2 linked regions of the Anolis sagrei genome follow. The protein of the gene in region 1 purifies or fractionates together with the protein of each later gene. This does not show direct contact. Links are inferred from orthologs where the notes say so. Each region holds a gene or a part of one and is shown on either strand. Other genes may lie near its edges.

Region 1 (10,962 bases):
CTTTTAATAGAGTATGAAGGTGTTGATCTTTTTTTGTAACCTCTTCCTGGAATTCAATCGAGCCTAGCAGAAAACATTAACAATGCAAATCTTTAATTATTTGTCATCCCCCCCAGATGTTACAATTCTTCCAGAAATTATAGGGAAATCGTTTGGTTTAAGTGTTGGGAATATGACCCTTGAAAACCATGGTTTAAATTCCCTCCTCTTTGTGGAAAACTACTGGATGACCCAGAGATACTAGCAGTAACAACTTAGTAAATGAGAGTCCAAAAGTGGCAGGCTAAAACCTGGAACATCAATTTGTGGCTGAAACCAGATGAGATACTGTCCCCCGGTCACACAGATGGCTGGGCAACTTGGAAGGCACTGTGCTCTGGCACCACAAGATGCAGAACCAAGAAATGGCCTACAAAGTAGAGTCCATGACATGCAAGTGTGGAGAAGAGCAAACCACAGACTATTTACTACAATGCAACCTGAGTCTTGCCACATGCACAATGAAGGGCCTTCTCACAGCGACACCAGAGGCACTCCAAGTGGATATCTAGTATAATGCCAAGTTTTTAACTTTGTTTGTGATCTTTTTTAAATACATTATAACTGTACCCTCATATTGCTTCTGACACGATTAATAAATAGCCAAAGGCCCCTTCTATGCTGTCATATAATCCAGATTATCAAATCAGAAAAACCACATTATCTACTTTGAATTGGGTTATATGAGTCTATACTGGCATATAATCCAGTTCAAATCAGATAACCTGGATTTTATATGGCAGTGCAGAAGGGGCCTTAGAAGAAGGCAAGGGCACACATACAGTGAAAAAAACCCTCTGGTTTGATCACTCTAGGGTTACTGTAAATTTGGAAGTTACTTGAAGATATATGACACAAACAAGTTCATATAAATAGAGGCAGTGTAACTAAATCAGTACAATGCCATTTTCAGAAGTCTTGTTAACAACACACACCTCCCCTAATATAGCACCATTTGGAGCATTGGTTTTGAATTTCACATTTATTCATACTCTAATCATACACACAAATTGTTCTTCACTGGACTGTTGGCAGTTTCAAAGTTTTTTACAAAGGTCCCTTCATCACCTCCTTATAATCCAGTTTCTGAATCCAGATTATCTGCTTCGAATTGGATTATATGGCAGTGTAGACTCATACAACCAGTTCAAAGGAGGCGATCTGGATTCAGAAACTGGATTATATGGCAGTGTAGATCCAGCCACGGTCATTTTGAGAGGCCAGAACGACAGAGAAGGCATGAAAGAGAATAACTGATCAGAGGGTTAGCAGAAAAGCCATATAATTTCCCCTCTGGCCATAACTAGGTCCATCAAAATTAAATTTTGCTAGATCGCCTAGTAATAAATGTTTCTTCTTCAACCACTTATTCATGACATTTCCATCCTGGATATACGTTCCCTCATTCTGTCCCCATAGCTTTAAAATGTGCAAACTATTTGGTGGTTTTACACTTCTGAAATTGTTACATTGCTTCCTACCACTTATCGTATTTGTACGCTGCCCTGAAGTAGTGAGATGCACAGTGAGAAATAAATATTTTATTAAATTAAAAGACATAACAAAATAAATAGAGGGTTTATTATCCTGGCTGAATAAGACATCCACATTTTTATATTCTCTAGTGATTTTACTTTGTTGTTGATGTTTTTACTAACTAGGGAGAGCAGCCAATTCCTTAGAGAGCCCTGTACAAACTCCTTCTTTCATTTGGAAAAGATCTAAAAATCTGTAAAATATCGGGAATTGCAAGCCTCATTTAAGAGTAGATCTACTGAATTGAGTAAATTCACAGATGTCCTGAATGACCAGATTTATAATTAATACGGACTTTACAATAAGATTTGTGCAATGATTACAAAAAAGAAAGCAGCAGGATAAAAAAAGCATATGGTGGGTATGTATGGAGAGGACAGGATGCTGGAGCTTAGAGAGCAAGTTACAAGCAAGATAGGTTCTGGGGGCCCTTCCACACAGCCCTATATCCAAGAATATCAAGGCAGGAAATCCCACATTATCTGAGTGTGGACTCAGATAACTCATTTCAAAGCAAATATTGTGGGATTTTCAGCCTTGATATTCTGGGATTAAGGGCTGTGTGGAAGGGCCCTAGGACGTCTTCAAACTACGGGAAAGGACATTTTACCTGAACATTAGGAAGAATTTCCTGACTGTGAGTGCTGTTCAGCCGTGGAACTCTCTGCCCCAGAGTGTGGTGGAATCTCCTTCTTTGGAGGCTTTTTAACAGAGGCTGGATGGCCATCTCTCAGAGGTACTTTGAATGTGATTTTGCTGATCTTGACAGGGGGTTGGACTGGATGGCCCACGAGGTTTCTTCCAAGGTTTAGCTGAGACACCTTTTCCCCATTCAAATTCTTTCAGGACTGAATTTCCCTTCCAAGGGGTAGATTTCTCTCACTTCCTTTTGTCTCACCCCGTTCTTAACTATGAGTAATTTGTAAGTCAGATGTTTGTAACTTGGGGACTTGCTGCACATAGTTAGTTGCATCCATCTACTGAATAGATGCAAGTCATCTATCCCAAAATTTGGAAAGACTGAACACTCTGGGCAGGCATGTGGGGGGGGGGCTGAGGGGCTTCAGCCTCCCTCCCCCCCAAATTCTCATGGTGGTTCGCGAGAAGGCCTTACTGGTACATTATTTAAACTGTTATGTTTATTCATATCATGATCTGATCACCATGCTCAATATATCCCATGTGAATGGTGGTATTGGGATAACGATACAAAAGGTTTGCTAGGATAGATCCTCATCCACCCTCAATCAAACTCAGCCCACCCCCACCCCTGAATTAAAATCCTGGCTACGGGCCTGACTCCGGGACTGCCTGTAACTGATGGAAATAGCTGCAGATGGCTCTCAGACCACAACTCCCAGCCTGCAAATCTCTCCTTCAATGACGCATGCGCTTTGCAATGGGCCTTAGGCAGGGAAAGGGGAGGGGCAAAGGGCAGCATTGCTTCCAGAAGATCTTGGACACCAAAAGGAAAACTTCAATGTCAAAAGGATTTTCTACCCTGCCAATATGGCCACCTCCCTTCCCTATGCAATCACCTTCACACAAACCAGTAGGGTTGCCATTATAAAAACTGGAAATGGCCCACATACCTTTAATATTTGTGTTGGAAAGTCAACCTCAGTGTTTCAAGGTACACTGACTGAAATGCCCTCCTCTTAAAGGCACAGAAGCCCCCATTAAAGGCACTGAAGTTGGCTTCAACCTAGCAGTAACCCATAGTGAAAATGTGGACTGTGTGGATGATCAATTGGCCTCATCACACTATAGAATGAATCCACTTTAAATCCGGTTGCTGAAGAATTCTGGGGTTTGCAGTTTATGGAGGAGCATTTAACAGCCTCACTAAAATACAAACCCCAGAATTCTGTATGAGCAGAAACTGGATTTAGAGTGGATTTATTCTCTAGTGTGATGTATATGTGTGAAGAATGAATACAGGATGACACTTTAACAATTATGGCCCCCTCCTAAGGGGATGCTGGGAGTTGTAGTTTGCGGAGGCAACAATGGAATCATAGAGTTGGAAGAGACCTCATGGGCCATCCCTGCCAAGAAACAGGAATATTGCATTCAAAGCACCCCTGACCATCCAGCCTCTGTTTAAAAGCTTTCAAAGAAGGAGCCTCCACCACACTCTGGGGCAGAGAGTTCCACTGCTGAACAGCTCTCACAGTTAGGAAGTTCTTCCTAATGTTCAGGTGGAATCTCCTTTCTTGTAGTTTGAAGCCATTGTTCTGTGTCCTAGTCTCCAGGGAAGCAGAAAACAAACTTGCTCCCTCCTCCCTATACATGGCTATCATATCTCCTCTCAGCCTTCTCTTCTTCAGGCTAAACATGCCCAGCTCTTTAAGCCGCTCCTCATAGGGATTGCTCTCCAGACCCTTGATCATTTTAGTCATCCTCCTCTGGACACATTCCAGCTTGTCAACATCTCCCTTCAATTGTGGTGCCCAGAATGGGACACAATGATGGCCAAAGACCTTGAAAAACTGCAGCTCGGTTAATTCTACTGCATTCAGCCTTGGCAGTTCAGGAGGAGGGGTCAAACTGCATTAATGATGCAGTGTAGATGTAGGCTTGTTTGCAATTCATTACCTATTGCATGCACAGTCAAAGCAAAGGGAGAGAAAAAGAAACAGTGCAGAAATCCAAGTGCCAACTCACTCTGCAGAGCTGCTGAATCTACCTACACCAGGCTTGGGCCCTCCAGGTGTTTTGGACTCCAACTCCCACAATTCCTAACAGCCTACCGGCTGTTAGGAATTGTGGGAGTTGAAGTCCAAAACACCTGGAGGGCCTCAACCTCCCTCAGCGTGACTCACTTGGCTGCTGCTTGGCGGCGGCGGCGGGGAGGGGGTGCCTGGGGGCGGGCGCGGGCTTGGCCTTCCCGATCTCGCGGTGCGCGCGGCTCTCCAGGTTGAACTGGCCGAGCACGCGGCTCACCCTCGCGCCCATCATCCCGGTCCCGGGACAACGCCGGCCACGCCCCTTCCTTCCTGCCTCCAAAGGGCTCCTCCTCTTCCTCCTCCTTCTCTGCTTCTGTGCGCATTGAGGCTCTCGGGCGACGCCTAGCGGTCGGAGGCCGAGCCACAGACAGGCTCTATCTATTACAGCAGCCAGGAGAATGATTTTGGACTGCTCTCAATACTATGAAATGCTGGGAGTTGTAGTTGTGCACGGTCTTTAGCCTCCTCTGCCTTATTGGAAATTGCAACCTTCTTCCAGCCTCCTATACTAGTCATTTGTTATGTATATAATTTGAATTGCTTACTCTATTGTATATGTTTGTTGGTATACAGCAGCATTTCTCAGTCTGGGGGTCGGGACCTTTGTTGGGGTCATGGGGGGGGGGGGGCAGGGGGTGTCGCCAAGGACCATAAAAAACACAGTATTTTCTATTGGTCATAGGGATTCTGTGTAGGAAGTTTGGTCCAATTCTATTGTTGGTGGGGTTCAGAATGCTATTTGATTGTCGGTGAACTATAAATCCCAGAAACTGCAACTCTCAAATGTCAAGGTCTATTTCCCCCAAACACCACCAGTGTTCACATTTGGCCATATGGAGTATTTGTGCCAAGTTTGGTCCAGATCCATCATTGTCTGAGTCCACAGTGCTCTCTGGATGTAGGTGAACTACAACTCCCAAACTCAAGGACAATGCCAGTATTTTCTGTTGGTCATGGGAGTTCTATGTGCCAAGTTTGGTTCAATTCTATCATTGGTGGGGTTCAGAATGCTAGGTGAACTATAAATCCCAGCAACTACAACTGCCAAATGTCAAGGTCTGTTTTCTCTAAACTCCGCCAGTGTTCACATTTCGGCATATTGAGTATCTGTGCCAAGTTTGGTCCAGCTCCATCATTATCTGAGTCCACAGTGCTCTCTGGATGTAGGTAAACTACAACTCCCAAACTCAAGGTCAATGCCCACCATACCTATCCAGTATTTTCTGTTGGTCATGCGAGTTCTATGTGCTGAGTTTGGTTGAATTCTTTGATTGTAGGTGAACTATAAATCCCAGCAACTACAACTGTCAAATGTCAAGGTCTGTTTTCCCTAAACTCAGCCAGTTTGGTTCAATTCCATGATTGGTGGAGTTCAGAATGCTCTTTGATTGTAAGTGAACTATAAATCCCAGCAACTACAACTCCTAAATGACAAAATCAAACCTCCACCAGTATTCAAATTTGGGCGTTTCGGATATTTGTTGCACAATTTAGTCCAGTGAATGAAAATACATCCCGTGTATCAGATATTTACATTATGATTCATAGCAGTAGGAAGATTACAGTTATGAAGTAGCAACATAAATAATTTTATTGTTGGGGGTTACCACAACATGAGGAACTCTATTAAGGGGTCGCAGCATTAGGAAGATTGAGAAACACCGATATACAGTTTTCCTTAACTATATTGTGGGAGGGGCTGCAGACCATGTGACCAGATCTGGGCATGTTCAGGACTCAGACTCCATTTTAGAAGTACAGTAGAGTCCGGCTTATCCAACCTTCCCTCATCCAACATTCTGTACTATCCAATGCATTCTGCCTACCGTCCAGATCCACATTGCGATGTTTTGATGCTAAATCTGTAAGTACAGTAATTACTACATAATATTACCGTGTATTGAACTGCTTTTTCTGTCAATTTGTTGTAAAACATAATGTTTTGGTGCTTAATTTGTAAAATCATAAGATTATTTGACATTTAATTGGCTTTTCCTTAATCCCTACGTATTATCCAACATTTTTGCTTATCCAACGTTCTGCTGGCCCGTTTATAAGCGAGGCTCTACTGTAGTATGCAGTATGCTCTTAGAAGTCTGTAGAAACAGAATTAACATTGAAAAATTAAAAATGGCATTATTTTCGTTAAGGAGAATTGCAAATGAAGTGCTGAGACCAAAGAAAATAATAGTACTACCCTCAGCCACAAAAACAACGTTTCTGGAGCAGAACAACTGCTTTCAAAGTCAGTACCGCACAATTAAACAGGAAATAACAAATTCAAACCAGAAATAGATATTTATTTTTTTTTGTTACATAGTGTAATAATAATAATAATAATAATAATAATAATAATAATAATAATAATACGGTGGCTCGAGGTGGGATACAACAAAGTCGAAAACATAAGAACATGAAATATATACAATAAATTACATGGATAAAAAAACCACATTTTTTTTCCACTTACCCCAAACAGATACAGAACAAGCATAAAGCAACAATCAAATGTAAATCAAAACTCCATCGCATGAAAGTGCTACAGATAATTTTAAGTCTGTTTTTTTTTTCAATCTTTACATGCATAAATGGTGACTTATTTAGACCAGAGGTACCCAAACTAAGACCTATGGGCCAGATGCGGTCCTCCAACGCCGTTTACCTGGCCCCTGCCCTAAACTTTAGCCTTAGGGTTGCTCTAGATCTGAAACAACTTAAAGGCACACAACAACAACAATCCTAATAAACTTGACTCTCTCAAAAGCAGACCCACCCTTCCCATTGAAATGCTGGTAAGTTTATGTTGGTTAAAATTGCTCTTCATTTTAAGTATTGTATTGTTGTTTGTTTGTTTTGCACTACAAATAAGATATGTGCAGTGTGCAGAGGAATTTGTTCATGTTTTTTTCAAACTATAGTCTGGCCCCCAACAGTTTGAGGACCCCTATTTTTTGTCAGTTTTGTCAGATCCTTGCCATGATGTTAAATTGGGCTTCATACCTATTTTTAGTCCCCAGTAGAGCAAACTGTGAACTGCCCTGAGTCCCTTTCGGGGTTAAGAAGAACTGTATACAAATACCACAAATAAATAAATAAATAAAATTATCCATGGAACCAACAGTATTTACATACATGTTGACTTGTCATTATACAGTAAGCTCTCCAAATAAAGACATTTGTATTTTTTTCTTCTGAGAAAATACCTCTCTAGAAATGTCTAGTTCTTACAGCATGACTCTGTGGTCAACTTCTGAGGAAGCTAACCTTACAACTGCATTGGAGGACCTAGATTCTGAGAGACCTTTCTCAGAGGGCATCTACATTGCCTTAGTGATTTCTATAAAGGCCATCTCTCTAAGAAGCAAAATTTTTGTTTGTGTTTGGGAACATTGCAGAAGGGCCCCCATGTGGATCATCATGTAATTTCAATAATTCAGAAAATGTGATTTAGGGTTGAAAAGGGAAGCTTTTAAAATAAATGGCTTTTGAAATGGAATTGTGGTACATACTTTGGTGAAAATGCAACGATGTTTGTAGTGAAGACAGCCCGAATTATGCTTTGGCTTTTCACCACTTTACTCAGTGAAAGGTGTGGTTCCTTTTTTGATATGTATCACCTACATTGACCTGTGGAAAAAATGATCCATTTTTTGGGTTTGATTTTATGATGAAACTTTCTAAACTTAAGACATGAGCATATAGCGTGACTTTCTCAGTTTTACCTTCCTCTTCCTACTATGAACAGTGGAAGCTGAAGTACAGTTTGCAGGATTAAAGTTTGTGTGGGTTGCGTCATTATTGACAAAAAGTGTGGTGCAAATATCATTCATCCTCAGGTCTCATTAATAACGTGATTTTTTTCTTATTTTTTTCATTCTTTATTTTATTTCCTCTTGTTCCTATTTTCCTATCTCATTAACATATCTTTCCCAGTAGACTTTGCTAAAGTTCTCATGAGCAGAAAGGCAGAATAGGTGAGGAAACAAGCTAGCAGCATGCATTTTACAGTGTGTGGTTATATTCCAAAGAGCTATTATAGTCTCAAAGAGAAGAAAAACTAACTGCTTTATAATGGCCTGTTACAATGTGTGTGTGATATTTATTTTCTTGCCAGAAAACCTCCCCGACTACACTTGCAGCAAGTACAATTGGTGACTTTCTTGGAAGACAAGGTCAACCTGTTTCAGCAATGTATTAACACTCTTTAGAGCAGAGTTTCTCAAACTGTGCTCCTTTAGATGTTTTGTACTTCAGCTCCCACAGTTCCCAACAGCAGGTAGGCTGACTGGGATTTCTGGGAGCTGAAGTGTAAAATACCTGGAGGAGCAGAGTTTGAGAAACACTGCTTTAGAGCACCAGAGACCACAAGGACTTCACAGAATTGCTTTTACAGAATCAATAGGAAGAAACTGCCAAGGAAAATCAAGAGGATGATAGCATTAAGGAAGAATGACTGGAGGACAGTCACCGTCAGGACCAGACTATACCCGAGATTCAGTCCAACTCCAACAAAGCAATCGCTTTCTACATCTTCCTGAATATCATAATGATGAAGTTCTCTAAGCAGGAAATTAGCAACAAGTGATGCTGCAATCCGAGAAGAAAGTCAACTTAAGGTCTGACTGCAGCAAAAAAGAAATGTGCTGGTGATAGGGAACTCATTGCTCCATGGTATAGTATAGATCAGGCATGGTCTAATTTCTGCCCTCCCTGTGTTTTAGACTTCAACTTCCAGAAATCCTATTTAGCTTACCAGATATTGGGAATTGTGGGAGTTGAAATCCAAACACTTGGAGGGCTGAAGTATGTCCATGCCTGGTATAGAGGAACCTGTGTGTCAGCCTGAGAAGATGAATCAGGAGGCGTGCTGTCTCTTTAGTGCATGCATTTGGGATGTTACTAACAATGTGTTAAAGCTGATCACAGATCACACCCTTTTTTTCTTATTCATGTGGGTATCAATATCATCGCAAAAAGCACTTTGGATTTCCAGGAAGCCGATTTTATGAAGTAAAATCAATGAGATGCTAAAGAAAACAAGCAACCACAATGAGTAGAATTTTATGAAGAAGGGGTTCCAAAAAGCACAATAGCAAACAATTTCAAGAAAGAAGAAAAATGGGAAACATCTGAAAAAGCCAATGTAAACTCAAGAAGTAAAAAAAGAAAAAAAATATAAAGAATGGAAGGAAGGACAAAACAGAGAATACATATAGCCTAAACTTGTAGGAATCGTGTACAGAAATATAAAGCTCAAAATGAGCTGAGTCCAACTAGGGAAACAGGAAGTAACGTGAAGTGAGGGTTGAAGTATGTTTGAAGCAAGAGAATAGCCAAGGATGGCACTATCCAAGGATGTTAAAATGCTAACAAATTATAGCAAAAGGACAGAACTGCTAAATGCCTGTTTTGCTTATTTGATCCCAAAAAGAGAACTGGGCTTCCATGCATTGGAAGAGAACTTGGTATGGAATCCAGATCCCTAGCAAATCCACCTAGGATTTGGTTTACCATTATTCTTAGCAACAGAGAAGCAGTGATCCTTGCTGGTTACAGGTACTGTAGAATCAAGAGACTCTCCTCCCATGTCAGTGACACTGAACAGGATTTTTGTCATAGCTGTGTTAGCAGCAGCAGCATCACAAACATTATTGCAACCCTGTTATCCATGTGAAAAGTGCTGGAAACTACGAGGGATCTATGCTTATATAAATTGATTAGTGGGAGAGGGGACTTGCTCGTTAAAGTCACTTTCTCCAATAAGTTAGTGTTTCCTTCTGACTTGAATGAGAGCATCCACGAGGCTCCAACGGTTATATTGTCTTCTAGGTTGTCTCTGCATTAGGGGCTCTTGTGCCCAAGTATGGGCTGACTTCTTTAATCTGTCTCCTTTCCTACCGAAGACTAATTTCCTGAAAAAAATGAACTAAGTTTTCTTTTTATCGTATGAAAGCATCTTGAGTAATGGCTCCATTTTGGCTACAGGGCTGAGAAAAGCAGCATATAAATGGAGTAAATAAATAAATACATGTTCACATAGCAATAGTCCTGCTGTACGCTGCTTAATATAGATTCTAAATATTCCTGCAGAAACAAAGTAACATAACGCAAAACTTAAGCACCTTGGAGGATTAAGATAAAAATGCAATGAATGAATAAGAATAAGTGACCCTGGAAAGTTATCTATAGCACACACCTTTGATCAAAGAATGATGAGGAAAAGATTGAGTCCTCACCTAAGATCACTATGTGCAAGCAGCAGCTCTTCTGCCATGGGCTGCAATATTTTCAATCATCCTTCTGCTTTTCTTATGAGAACAAACTTGCATTACTTATAAATACCACAAAACACTAGGGAATGGTTCATTTTACCTGCCATTTCAAACTAAAAACAAAATCTGTATTTAAGTATATTACAAACTGCATTTGTATTCTAAAGCAATGTACTGCACAACTGGTATGAAATTCTTATAGGCTTGTGGTGATATGGCAGGATAGGGCTGGAGAGTTTTACCTTGCTTGTAAAACATAAGCGGGAAGCTGGTCATTTTTGATAAGTTGTTGTGTCAATCTACTCACAAGGGATGAATGGCCTGAGGCAGATTCCAAGGCTGAGTTATATAACCATGCTTCTATAAAGAAAATGACTGTTCTCTTT
Region 2 (11,052 bases), on another chromosome or scaffold:
CCCTCGACATTATTCCACAGATATATAAACCCCACTTGCCTAGTTTCCAACAGACACCTCAACCTCTGAGGATGCCTGCTATAGATGTGGGAGAAACGTCAGGAGAGAATGCTTCTGGAACATGGCCTTAGAGCCTGGGAAACTCACAGCAACTAGTTTGAAATGATGTTATAAAGAGTAGGGGAAAAGTTTTCTGCTGCTCCAGAGACAAGGACACGAAGTAATGGATTCAAATGGGAGGAAAAGAGATTCCACCTAACCATTAGAATCCTAGAGTTGGAAGAGACCTCATGGGTCATCCAGTCCAACCCCATTCTACCAAGAAGCAGGAAAATTGCATTCAAAGCACCCCTGACAGATGGCCATCCAGGCTCTGTTAAAAAGCTTCCAACGAAAGAGCCTTTAAAAGCTTCCACACTCTGGGGCAGAGAGTTCCACTGCTGAACAGCTCTCAAAGTCAGAAAGTTCTTCCTAAGAGAACAGAGAGGAAACAACAGAGAGGAAACAACCAGGCACAGATTAACACCTCCCAGCAGGAGATTTTCCCAGGCTCAGACAGGCCTTCAAATGCTAAACATTCACACCTAACTGCAGCAGGGAAGAGCTCCTTGCCCCACCCCAGCCATTCCACAGATATATAAACCCATTGTCCTAATCCCAACAGACCTCACTACCTCTGAGGATGCTTGCCATAGATGCAGGCGAAACGTCAGGAGAAATGCCTCTAGAACATGGCTCTATAGCCCGAAAAAACCCACAAGAACCTAGTTCTTCCTAATGTTCAGATGGAATCTCCTTTCTAGTTATTTATATATAGCTATCTATATAAATAAAAATGTAACGTCCGTTTGTGAGATTAACATAAATCAAAAACCACTGAACAAATTGCTGCCAAATTTGGCCACAAGTCACCTACTAACCCAAGGAGTGCCCACTACTCAAAAAAAATTGATTTTGTCATTTGGGAGTTGTAGTTGCTGGGATTTATAGTTCACCTACAATCAAAGAGCATTCTGAACTACACCAATGATGGAATTGGACCAAAATTGGCACACAGGACTCCCATGACCAACAGAAAACACTAGAAGGGTTTGGTAGGCATTGACCTTGAGTTTGGGAGTTGTAGTTCACCTACATCCAGAGAGCACTGTGGACTCAAACAATGATAGATGGACCGTTGGGCCGTTATTTCAGTAGATCTGCACGTGGACATTCAACCTTTGGATAGCTCCATCCCACAATATATACAGAGCACGTATTTTGGTTATGTAATCTGTATAAATGTCCATTTTCCACCTAGATTATCAAAAAATGGAGACCCTAATAATGTCTGGTTTAGACTATCTGAAACCCTCACCTGTTTGGAATGCCAATACCCCTCCACAAAGCTCCTCTTGTGTGGAGATTTTAATGCTAGAATTGGGATGGGTGTTAAACAGGTGGAAGGCACTAACTTCGGACAAGATGACCAGGTTACATCTGCTGACAGAGTCTCTCAAGACACAATCAGAAACAAGGCCGATCTGAGTTTCTTAGAGATGCTCTCCTTGCATCAATTGCACTGCCTTAATGGGACACAGTGCGACATAACACAAGGTGCCTATACTTATGTTACCAATAGTACTATTGATTATATGGCAGTTTCTGCCAACCTGTTACCTGATATCCAAAGCTCACTGTGGACTCAAACAATGATGGATCTGGACCAAACTTGGCACGAATATTCCATATGCCTAAATATGAACACAGATGGAATTTGGAGGAAATAGATCTTGACATTTGGGAGTTGTTGTTACTGGGATTTATAGTTCACCTACAGTCAAAGAGCATTCTGAACCCCACCAACGACAGAATTGGGGCAAACTTCCCACACAGAACCCCCATGACCAACAGAAAATACTTAAGCCCATCCAGTTCAACTCTCTTCACCAGGGCAAGAAAAGGTAATCAAAGCCCTCCTGACAAAGAGCCATCCAGCTATAGATATAGATAGATAGATAAACACAGATATATATATCACCTCTCAACAGAACATTTTCCCAGGCTCAGCCAAGCCTTCAAATGCTAATGAAGGTGGTCAGCTGAAACATTCACACCTAGCTTCAGCAGAGAGCTCTTTGCCCCACCCCAGCCATTCCACAGATATATAAACCCATTTTCCTATTTCCAACAGACCTCACTACCTCTGAGGAAGCTTGCCATAGATGCGGGCGAAACGTCAGGAGAAAAATTGCCTCCAGAACATGGCCATATAGCCCAAAAAAACCTACAAGAACCTAGATATATATAGTATTATAGGTATGAAAGGGACCCTTAAAGGAGGACAATGTATATCCAGAGCAGGCAAACCAGACACTCTCCACATCAACACTGACTAAGAAACAACAAGAAATACTGTTTACCCACAAGCATAAAAACATTACAGATATTAGAAACCAACACTTTCTCGGTTGTTGTAGGTTTTTTCGGGCTATATGGCCATGGTCTAGGGGCATTGTCTCCTGACGTTTTGCCTGCATCTATGGCAAGCATCCTTAGAGGTAGTGAGGTCTGTTGGAAGTAGGAACAATGGGTTTATATATCTGTGGAATGACCAGGGTGGGACAAAGGACTCTTGTCTGCTGGAGCTAGGTGTGAATGTTTCAACTGACCACCTTGATTAGCATTTGATGGCCTGACTGTGCCTGGAGCAAACCTTTGTTGAGAGGTGATTAGATGTCCTTGTTTGTTTCCTCTCTGTTGTTGTGCTGTTGTAATTTTAGAGTTTTTTTTTTAATACTGGTAGCTAGATTTTGTTCATTTTCATGGTTTACTCCTTTCTGTTGAAACTGTCCACATGCTTGTGGATTTCAATGGCTTCACTTTCTCATTACTTTATTTTTCAGATCAGCAGACTGGGCCATAGCAACGCGTGGCAGGGGACAGCTAGTGTGTGCGTGTGCGTACACACATCTATACAGTATCATTATACATAGTCATGCTGCAAGTCGTCTCTGGTTGCTTCTGGATCGAGAGAATCGGCCGTCTAAAAGACGTTGCCCAGGGGACGCCCGGATGTCTTGCAATCCTGCGAGGAGGCTTCTCTCATGTCCCAGAAGGGACAGAGAGTTTCATCTATGCTGATGATCGTGCCATTACTGCTCAAGCAGGGAGCTTTGAGATGGTAGAACAGAAGCTTTCCAAAGCTCTAGGTGCTCTTACTGCCTATTACAGGGAAAACCAACTGAACCCTAATCCATCTAAAACACAGATATGCGCCTTTCACCTTAAGAACAGACAAGCATCCCGAGCTCTGAGGATTACCTGGGAAGGAATCCCACTGGAGCATTGCAGCGCACCCAAATACCTGGGAGTCACTCTGGACCGTGCTCTTACCTACAAGAAGCACTGCCTGAACATCAAGCAAAAAGTGGGCGCTAGAAACAACATCATACGAAAGCTGACTGGCACAACCTGGGGATCACAACCAGACACAGTGAAGACATCTGCCCTTGCGCTATGCTACTCTGCTGCTGAGTACGCATGCCCAGTGTGGAACACATCTCACCACACTAAAACAGTAGATGTGGCTCTTAATGAGACGTGCCGCATTATCACGGGGTGTCTGCGCCCCACACCACTGGAGAAATTACACTGCTTAGCCGGTATTGCACCACCTGACATCCGCCGGGAAGTAGCAGCCAATAGTGAAAGGACCAAGGCAGAGACATCTCCAGCTCATCCCCTATTTGGGTATCAGCCAGCACGCCAACGACTTAAATCTAGACATAGTTTTCTTAGATCTACAGAGACACTCGCTGGAACACCCCAGCAAGCGAGAGTCCAAAAGTGGCAGGCCCAAACCAATGGCTGATACCAAATGAGAGACTCCCCCCTGGGCACTCAGAAGACTGGGCGACTTGGAAGGCGCTGAACAGACTGTGCTCTGGCACCACGAGATGCAGAGCCAGTCTTAAGAAATGGGGCTACAGGGTGGAATCCTCGGCATGCGAGTGCGGAGAAGAGCAAACCACTGACCACCTGCTGCAATGCACCCTGAGACCTGCCACATGCACGATGGAGGACCTTCTTGCGGCAACACCAGAGGCACTCCAAGTGGCCAGATACTGGTCAAAGGACATTTAATCAGCTACCAAGTTTGCAAAATCTGTGTGGGTTTTTTTTCCTTTTCCTTTTTAATCTGTGTGTTTGTTTTGCTCTGTTAGAATTGTGATACAATGGTTGCTGATGACACGATAAATAAATATCTAGTCATATTTGATGACGGTGGTGGTGGTAATGGAGTCTCCTTCTCTAAAGGTTTCTAAGCAGAGGCTGGATGGCCATCTGTCGGGAGTGCTTGGATTGTGCCTTCCTGCCTGGCAGATGGGGGTTAGACTGGATGGCCTTTGGAGGTCCCTTCCAACTCTAGATTAAGCCCTATTGGGAGAGGATTCGCGAGCAGACACAGCACCTCCATAGAGAAGAGGTTGCAGTAAGACTGGGAGCCTGAGCATACCTGCTGGGCGCCGCCCCCAGCGCCATCCCTTGCAGCCATGACCCTGAAGGTGTCCGCAGCCTTCCTAGGCACCTCAGCGCCGCCATCTTGCTTTTACGGCTGGACGTCGATTCTGCGCATGCTCCCTTTTGCCCTTCCGCGCACAGAAGCCGCCATTGCTAGTGTGGGCAAGGCCAAACCATAAGGGCTCCACTACAGCGGTTGAGACTCTATGGCCATTCGTTCTGTCGGAAGTGACGTTACTGCCTAGGAAAAAGGAAACCATTTCCGTTTTCTTCCTGTTGTCTGGAGCGAGAAGTCCTGACCTTTTTTTGGAGGACGCTGGGCGGGTGGGTAAACTGCGATGGTGTTGGACTACAACTCCCATCCATCATGAGAGCTGTAGTTCCTTAATATCTGTATAGTCATAGGTTCCTATAGATCTTTTACATGCTGCTGTTGGTAAGGCTGGTAAGAGGAGGGCGACTAGGAAGAACTTCCTGACTGTGAGAGCAGTTCAGCAGTGGAACTCTCTGCCCCAGAGTGAGGTGGAGGCTCCTTCTTTGGAAGCTTTTAAGCAGAGGCTGGATGGCCATCTGTCAGGGGTGATTTGAATGCAATATTCCTGCTTCTTGGCAGGGGTTGGACTGGATGGCCCATGAGGTCTCTTCCAACTCTTTGATTCTTTGATTCTATGACTAAAATGATCAAGGGTCTGGAGAACAAGCCCTATGAGGAGCGGCTTAAAGAGCTGGGCATGTTTAGCCTGAAGAAGAGAAGGCTGAGAGGAGACATGATAGCCATGTATAAATATGTGAGGGGAAGTCATAGGGAGGAGGGAGCAAGCTTATTTTATTTATTTATTTATTTACGACATTTATATGCCACCCTTCTCACCCCGAAGGGGACTCAGAGCGGCTTACACGGTATATATACATACAATATATTATATTATTAGCATAGTACAATATAAGTTTTAAATATTACTGTATTGTACTATACCAATTATATTGTAATAATATTAGTAATATTACATGTAATATAAATATATAATTACAATATGTTATTATTAGTATTATATTGCATTACATTATAATATTATAAATATTATATGTTTATACAATATATATTATATTATATTAAATTATTAGAATAGCACAGGAGACAAGGTGGAACTGTCCCGTGGCCCCCGCTCTCTTCACTCCGGCCCAGAGCGACAGTTGGTGCTGGGGGGAGGGGTCTCCAGCTGATGGCATATGCAGGAGAGAAGATGGTGCTGTCCCCTGGCCTCTCCTGTCTGTCTTCTGCTTCCTTGGAGACTAGGACGCGGAACAATGGCTTCAAACTACAAGAAAGGAGATTCCAACTGAACATTAGGAAGAACTTTATGACTGTGAGAGCCGTTCAGCAGTGGAACTCTCTGCCTCGGAGTGTGGTGGAGGCTCCTTCTTTGGAAGCTTTTAAACAGAGGCTGGATGGTCATCTGTTGAGGGTTATTGAATGCAATTTTCCTGTTTCTTGGCAGAATGGGGTTGGACTTAAGGAGCTGGGCATGTTTAGCCTGAAGAAGAGAAGGCTGAGAGGAGACATGATGGCCATGTATAAATATGTGAGAGGAAGTCACAGGGAGGAGGGAGAAAGCTTGTTTTCTGCTGCCCTGGAGACTTTTAAGCAGAGGCTGGGTGGCCATCTGTTGGGGGTGCTTTGAATGCGATTTTCCTGCTTCTTGCCAGAATGAGGTTGGAATGGATGACCCAGGAGGTCTCTTCCAACTCTAGGATTCTATTATTCTAATAGAAGGGGATTTGGGGATAATCTGTTCCCCCCGGGTCTGTGTTGGGCAGGAACCAGGCCACAGGTTCTATCTATCTGTTAGTCATAGAATCCTAGAGTTGGAAGAGACCTCATGGGCCATCCAGGCCAACCCCCTGCCAAGAAGCAGGAATATTGCATTCAAAGCACCCCTGACAGATGGCCATCTAGCCTCTGTTTAAAAACTTCCAAAGAAGGAGCCTCCACCACACTCTGAGACAGAGAGTTCCACTGCTGAACGGTTCTCACACTCAGGAAGTTATTCCTAATGTTCAGATGGAATCTCCTTTCTTGTAGTTTGAAGCCATTGTTCCATTGCATCCTAGTCTCCATGGCATCAGAAAACAAGCTTGCTCTCTCCTCCCTGTGACTTCCTCTCACGTATTTATACATGGCTATTATGTCTCCTCTCAGCCTTGAGAATGCTCTTTGATTGTAAATGAACTATAAATCCCAGCAACTACAACTCCCAAAAGACAAAATCATTTTTTGAGTGAAGGACATACATTGGGTTGTTAGGTGTCTTGTGTCCAAATTTGGTGTCAATTCGTCCAGTGGTTTTTGAGTTCTGTTAATGAGTGACTCTGCCCTTGTGACTTGGGTCATGTAGAAACAATAGAACATGTGCTCCTTCAGTGCCCGTTCTACAGGGATATCCGTGCCAGGCTTATCTTGCCTGTCACTCATTCTCAAGGGTTTGCCAGTTCAACTGTTTTGCTCATTCCTTTTTGTACTTTTTCAGAGCAACCTGCCAAGATGGGTGGCCATTTTGGGAACCTGGAACGGATGCGGCACGTGATCACTTACAGCTTGTCTCCCTTTGAGCAGAGGGCTTTCCCCAACTACTTCTCAAAAGGGATTCTCAACGTCTGGAGGCGATTCAGCTCCCAGGTCTTGCGTGTGGCTCCTCGTAAGTGAAAAACATTGGCTCGCTTCTTCCATTTGTTGCACAGCTCTTTGTGCAAATGTTAATTTCCATTGAAATTTCTCCTCCTCCCAGCAAAAAACAAACAAACAAAATACCTCAGAACAAAAAGCACATTGGTTCTATATCTATATAAATAAAAATGTAATATTCGTTTGTGGTATTAACAGAACTCAAAAACCACTGGACAAATTGACATGAAATTTGGACACTAAACCCCTAACAGACCAACGAGTGACCATCACTCCTAAAATCCCCCCAAAAAACAGCAGAAAGGACTTTAAAACCCTATAATGCTAAATGACAAAAAGCTAAATGATGAAAAAAGGGAAGGAAGAGGGAGGGAAGGAAGGAGGGGAGAAAGAAAGAGAGAGAGAGAAGGAGGGAGGGAAAAAAAGAAGGAAAAAGAGAAGGAAGCATAGAAGCAAAGAGTAAAGGAAGGAGAGAAAGAGGTAGAGAGGAAGAAAGGTAGAAAGAAAGAAGAAAGAAGAGGAGAAAGTGGGAGGGCAAGAAAAAGGAAAAGAGAGAAGGAAGCATGGAAACAAAGAGCAAAGGAAGGAAGGAAAGAAAAGTAGGAAAAGAAAAAGGAGGGAAAGGAAGGAAAGAGATAGAGAAGGAAGAAGAGAAAAAAGAGAGAGAAGGAGGGGGAAAGAGAGAAGGAAAGAGAGAAGGAAACATGGAAGCAAAGAGTGAAGGAAGGAGAGAAAGAAGTAGAGGGGAAGGTAGAAAAAAGAAAGAAGAGGAGAAAGTGGGAGGGCAAGAAAGAAGAAAAGAGAGAAGGAAGAATGGAAGCAAAGAGCAAAGGAAGGAAGGAGAGAAAGAAGTAGGAAAAGAAAAAGGAGGGAAAGGAAGGAAAGAGGTAGAGAAGGAAGGAGAGAAAGAAAGAGAGAGAAGGAGGGAGGGAAAGAATGAAAGAAGGAAAGAGAGAAGGAAGCATGGAAGCAAAGAGTGAAGGAAGGAGAGACAAGTAGAGAGGAAGAAAGAAAAAAGAAAGAAGATGAGAAAGTGGGAGGGCAAGAAAGAAGAAAAGAGAGAAGGAAGCATGGAAGCAAAGAGCAAAGGAAGGAAGGAGAGAAAGAAGTAGGAAAAGAAAAAGGAGGGAAAGGAAGGAAAGAGAGAAGGAAGGAAGGAGAAAGAAAGAGAGAGAGAGAAGGAGGGAGGGAAAGAAAGAAGGAAAAAGAGAAGGAAGCATGGAAGCAAAGAGTGAAGGAAGGAGAGAAAGAGGTAGAGAGGAAGAGAGGTAGAAAGAAAAAAGAAAGAAGATGAGAAAGTGGGAGGGCAAGAAAGAAGAAAAGAGAGAAGGAAGCATGGAAGCAAAGAGCAAAGGAAGGAAGGAGAGAAAGAAGTAGGAAAAGAAAAAGGAGGGAAAGGAAGGAAAGAGGTAGAGAAGGGAGGAAGGAGAAAGAAAGAGAGAGAGAAGGAGGGAGGGAGGGAAAGAAAGAAAGAAGGAAAGAGAGAAGGAAGCATGGAGGCAAAGAGTGAAGGAAGGAGAGAAAGAGGGAGAGAGGAAGAAAGGTAGAAAGAAAATAGAAGAGAAAGTGGGAGGGCAAGAAAGAAGAAAAGAGAGAAGGAAGCATGGAAGCAACAAGCAAAGGAAGGAAGGAGAGAAATAAGTAGGAAAAGAAAAAGGAAGGAAAGAGGTAGAGAAGGAAGGAAGGAGAGAAAGAGGGATGAAAGGAAAGAGAGAAGGAAGGATGGAAGCAAAAAGTGAAGGAAGGAGAAAAGAGGTAGAGAAGGAAGAAAGGAGAGAAGAAAAGGGAAGGAAGGAAGGAAAGAAGGGGAGAAAGATGGAGGAAAGGTTGGCCACAGCAACGCGTGGTTGAAATTTCCCCTCCTCCCAGCAAAAAACAAACAAACAAAATACCTCAGAATGAAAAGCACATTGGTTCTATATCTATATAAATAAAAATGTAATGTTAGTTTGTGGGATTAACATAACTCAAAAACCACTGGATGAATTGACATGAAATTTGGACACTATACCCCTAACAGACCAACAAGTGACCATCACTACTAAAATCCCCCCAAAAAACAGCAGGAAGGACTTTAAAACCCCATAAAGCTAAATGACAAAAAGCTAAATGATGAAAATAGGGAAGGAAGAGGGAGGGCAGGAAGGAAGGGGAGAAAGAAAGAGAGAGAGAAGGAGGGAGGGAGGGAAAGAAAGAAGGAAAGAGAGAAGGAAGCATGGAAGCAAAGAGAGAAGGAAGGAGAGAGGTAGAGAGGAATAAAGGTAGAAAGAAAAAGAAAATGGGAGGGCAAGAAAGAAGAAAAGAGAGAAGGAAGCATGGAAGCAAAGAGCAATGGAAGGAAGGAGAGAAAGAAATAGGAAAAGAAAAAGGGGGAAAAGAAGGAAAGAGATAGAGAAGGAAGGAAGGAGAGAAAGAAAGACAGAGAGAAGGAGGGAGGGAAAGAAGGAAAGAGAGAAGGAAGCATGGAAGCAAAGAGTGAAGGAAGGAGAGAAAGAGGCAGAGAGACTATATAGAATCAAAACAAGAATTTATTTACTGATAAGAGTTGTATACCTTCTGTCCTCCTCAGTCTCACTACAAAGTCTTTGTGAGGAGAGGTAAATAATAATAATAATAATACTAATAATAATAATAATAATAATAATAATAGACTTTATTTATACCCCGCCACCATCTTCCCGATGGGGACTCAGAGAAACATGGGGAAACTTACAAGCCCAAACAACATATTATATCAAAATAAAACCAAAACATAAACAACATCATCAAAATTACATGAAAAAAATACAATAACAAAATAACATTACAATAAAGTCTTTGAGAGACAGACACAGCTCACGAACTGAGGCTCTTGAATCTTTATTTATTATTATTGTCTCTTTCTTGTATGGTGTTCAGCTGTCTCTAAGATGGTCTCAATATTTAACTCTGACGGAACTTGAATACAACTCATACAGTTCTGACTGGACGTGCTATTTGTTGGCCTTCCAGCCTTTCTCTCATCACCTTTCAGTCACAAAAAGGCCGACTCTTCCAAGAACCTGAAGTGCCTTGCCTGAGGCTCTACTCCAGAGGTCTAGACTGACCCCCAGAAACTGCATAAAATATTAATCCCCCTAACTAAGAAGGGCTTAACTAGGGGTAAACAGTGAGGGTCTTCATGGGGCACGATAGAAATCCTGCAGCACGTTTTGCTTTAGATTTTCAAGGAATATCAACTAATTCAACATACTGTATATACTTGTGTATAAGCCTAATTTTTCAGCCCTTTTTTAGGCTGAAAAAGTCCCCCTCGGCTTATACTCAAGTCAAGGTTATTTATTATTTTACGCTGTTGTTGTTATTATTATTATTATCATTATTTTCATTTTATTTATTATTTTATTCTATTTATCATTATTACATTTATCATTTTACTCTATTATTATACATTTATTATTTTACTGTATTGTTGTTTACTGTATAATTGTTGTTATTGCTACATTCATTATTTTACTCTTTTTATTATTGTTGTTATTACATTTATTATATTACTCTATTATTATTATTGGAAGGATGCGTAAGCACATTTACATTGATGAAGGTAAATAATCATTTATTCAAAGTTGGACAGTCTTATCTTAAATTACCATTTTTGTAAATACTTAAAAATATATAACCTATTGATTCCTCAATGAATGTAATTTAATTGGTATCTATTTTTATTTTGCAATTTACCCGTAGTGGCTGCATTTCCCTCCCTCGGCTTGTACTCGAGTCAATCCGTTGTCTCCGTTTTTTTTTGTGGTAAAATTAGGTGCCTCGGGTTATATTCGTGTTGGTTTATACTCAAGTATATACGGTAGTTCGTGGCAGCCACAAAAATG

The links.
Region 2: the proteins of NDUFAF4 (region 1) and NDUFS2 purify together in Homo sapiens (co-immunoprecipitation; 3 studies listed by BioGRID and IntAct, with this or other methods). This does not show direct contact. The link is inferred for Anolis sagrei from reciprocal best matches to the Homo sapiens genes NDUFAF4 and NDUFS2.

The regions. Positions count from the first base shown.
Region 1 is NC_090021.1:100,929,888-100,940,849, reverse strand, and holds the start of NDUFAF4 (NADH dehydrogenase [ubiquinone] 1 alpha subcomplex assembly factor 4), read right to left. Parts: upstream 4,585-10,962; 5' UTR 4,537-4,584; coding exon 4,401-4,536; intron 64-4,400; coding exon 1-63. UniProt on the Homo sapiens protein: Involved in the assembly of mitochondrial NADH:ubiquinone oxidoreductase complex (complex I). May be involved in cell proliferation and survival of hormone-dependent tumor cells. May be a regulator of breast tumor cell invasion.
Region 2 is NC_090032.1:14,680,803-14,691,854, reverse strand, and holds the start of NDUFS2 (NADH dehydrogenase [ubiquinone] iron-sulfur protein 2, mitochondrial), read right to left. Parts: upstream 4,620-11,052; 5' UTR 4,585-4,619; coding exon 4,499-4,584; intron 1-4,498. Other genes in the region: UQCRQ (cytochrome b-c1 complex subunit 8), read left to right, coding at 7,046-7,199. UniProt on the Homo sapiens protein: Core subunit of the mitochondrial membrane respiratory chain NADH dehydrogenase (Complex I) which catalyzes electron transfer from NADH through the respiratory chain, using ubiquinone as an electron acceptor. Essential for the catalytic activity of complex I.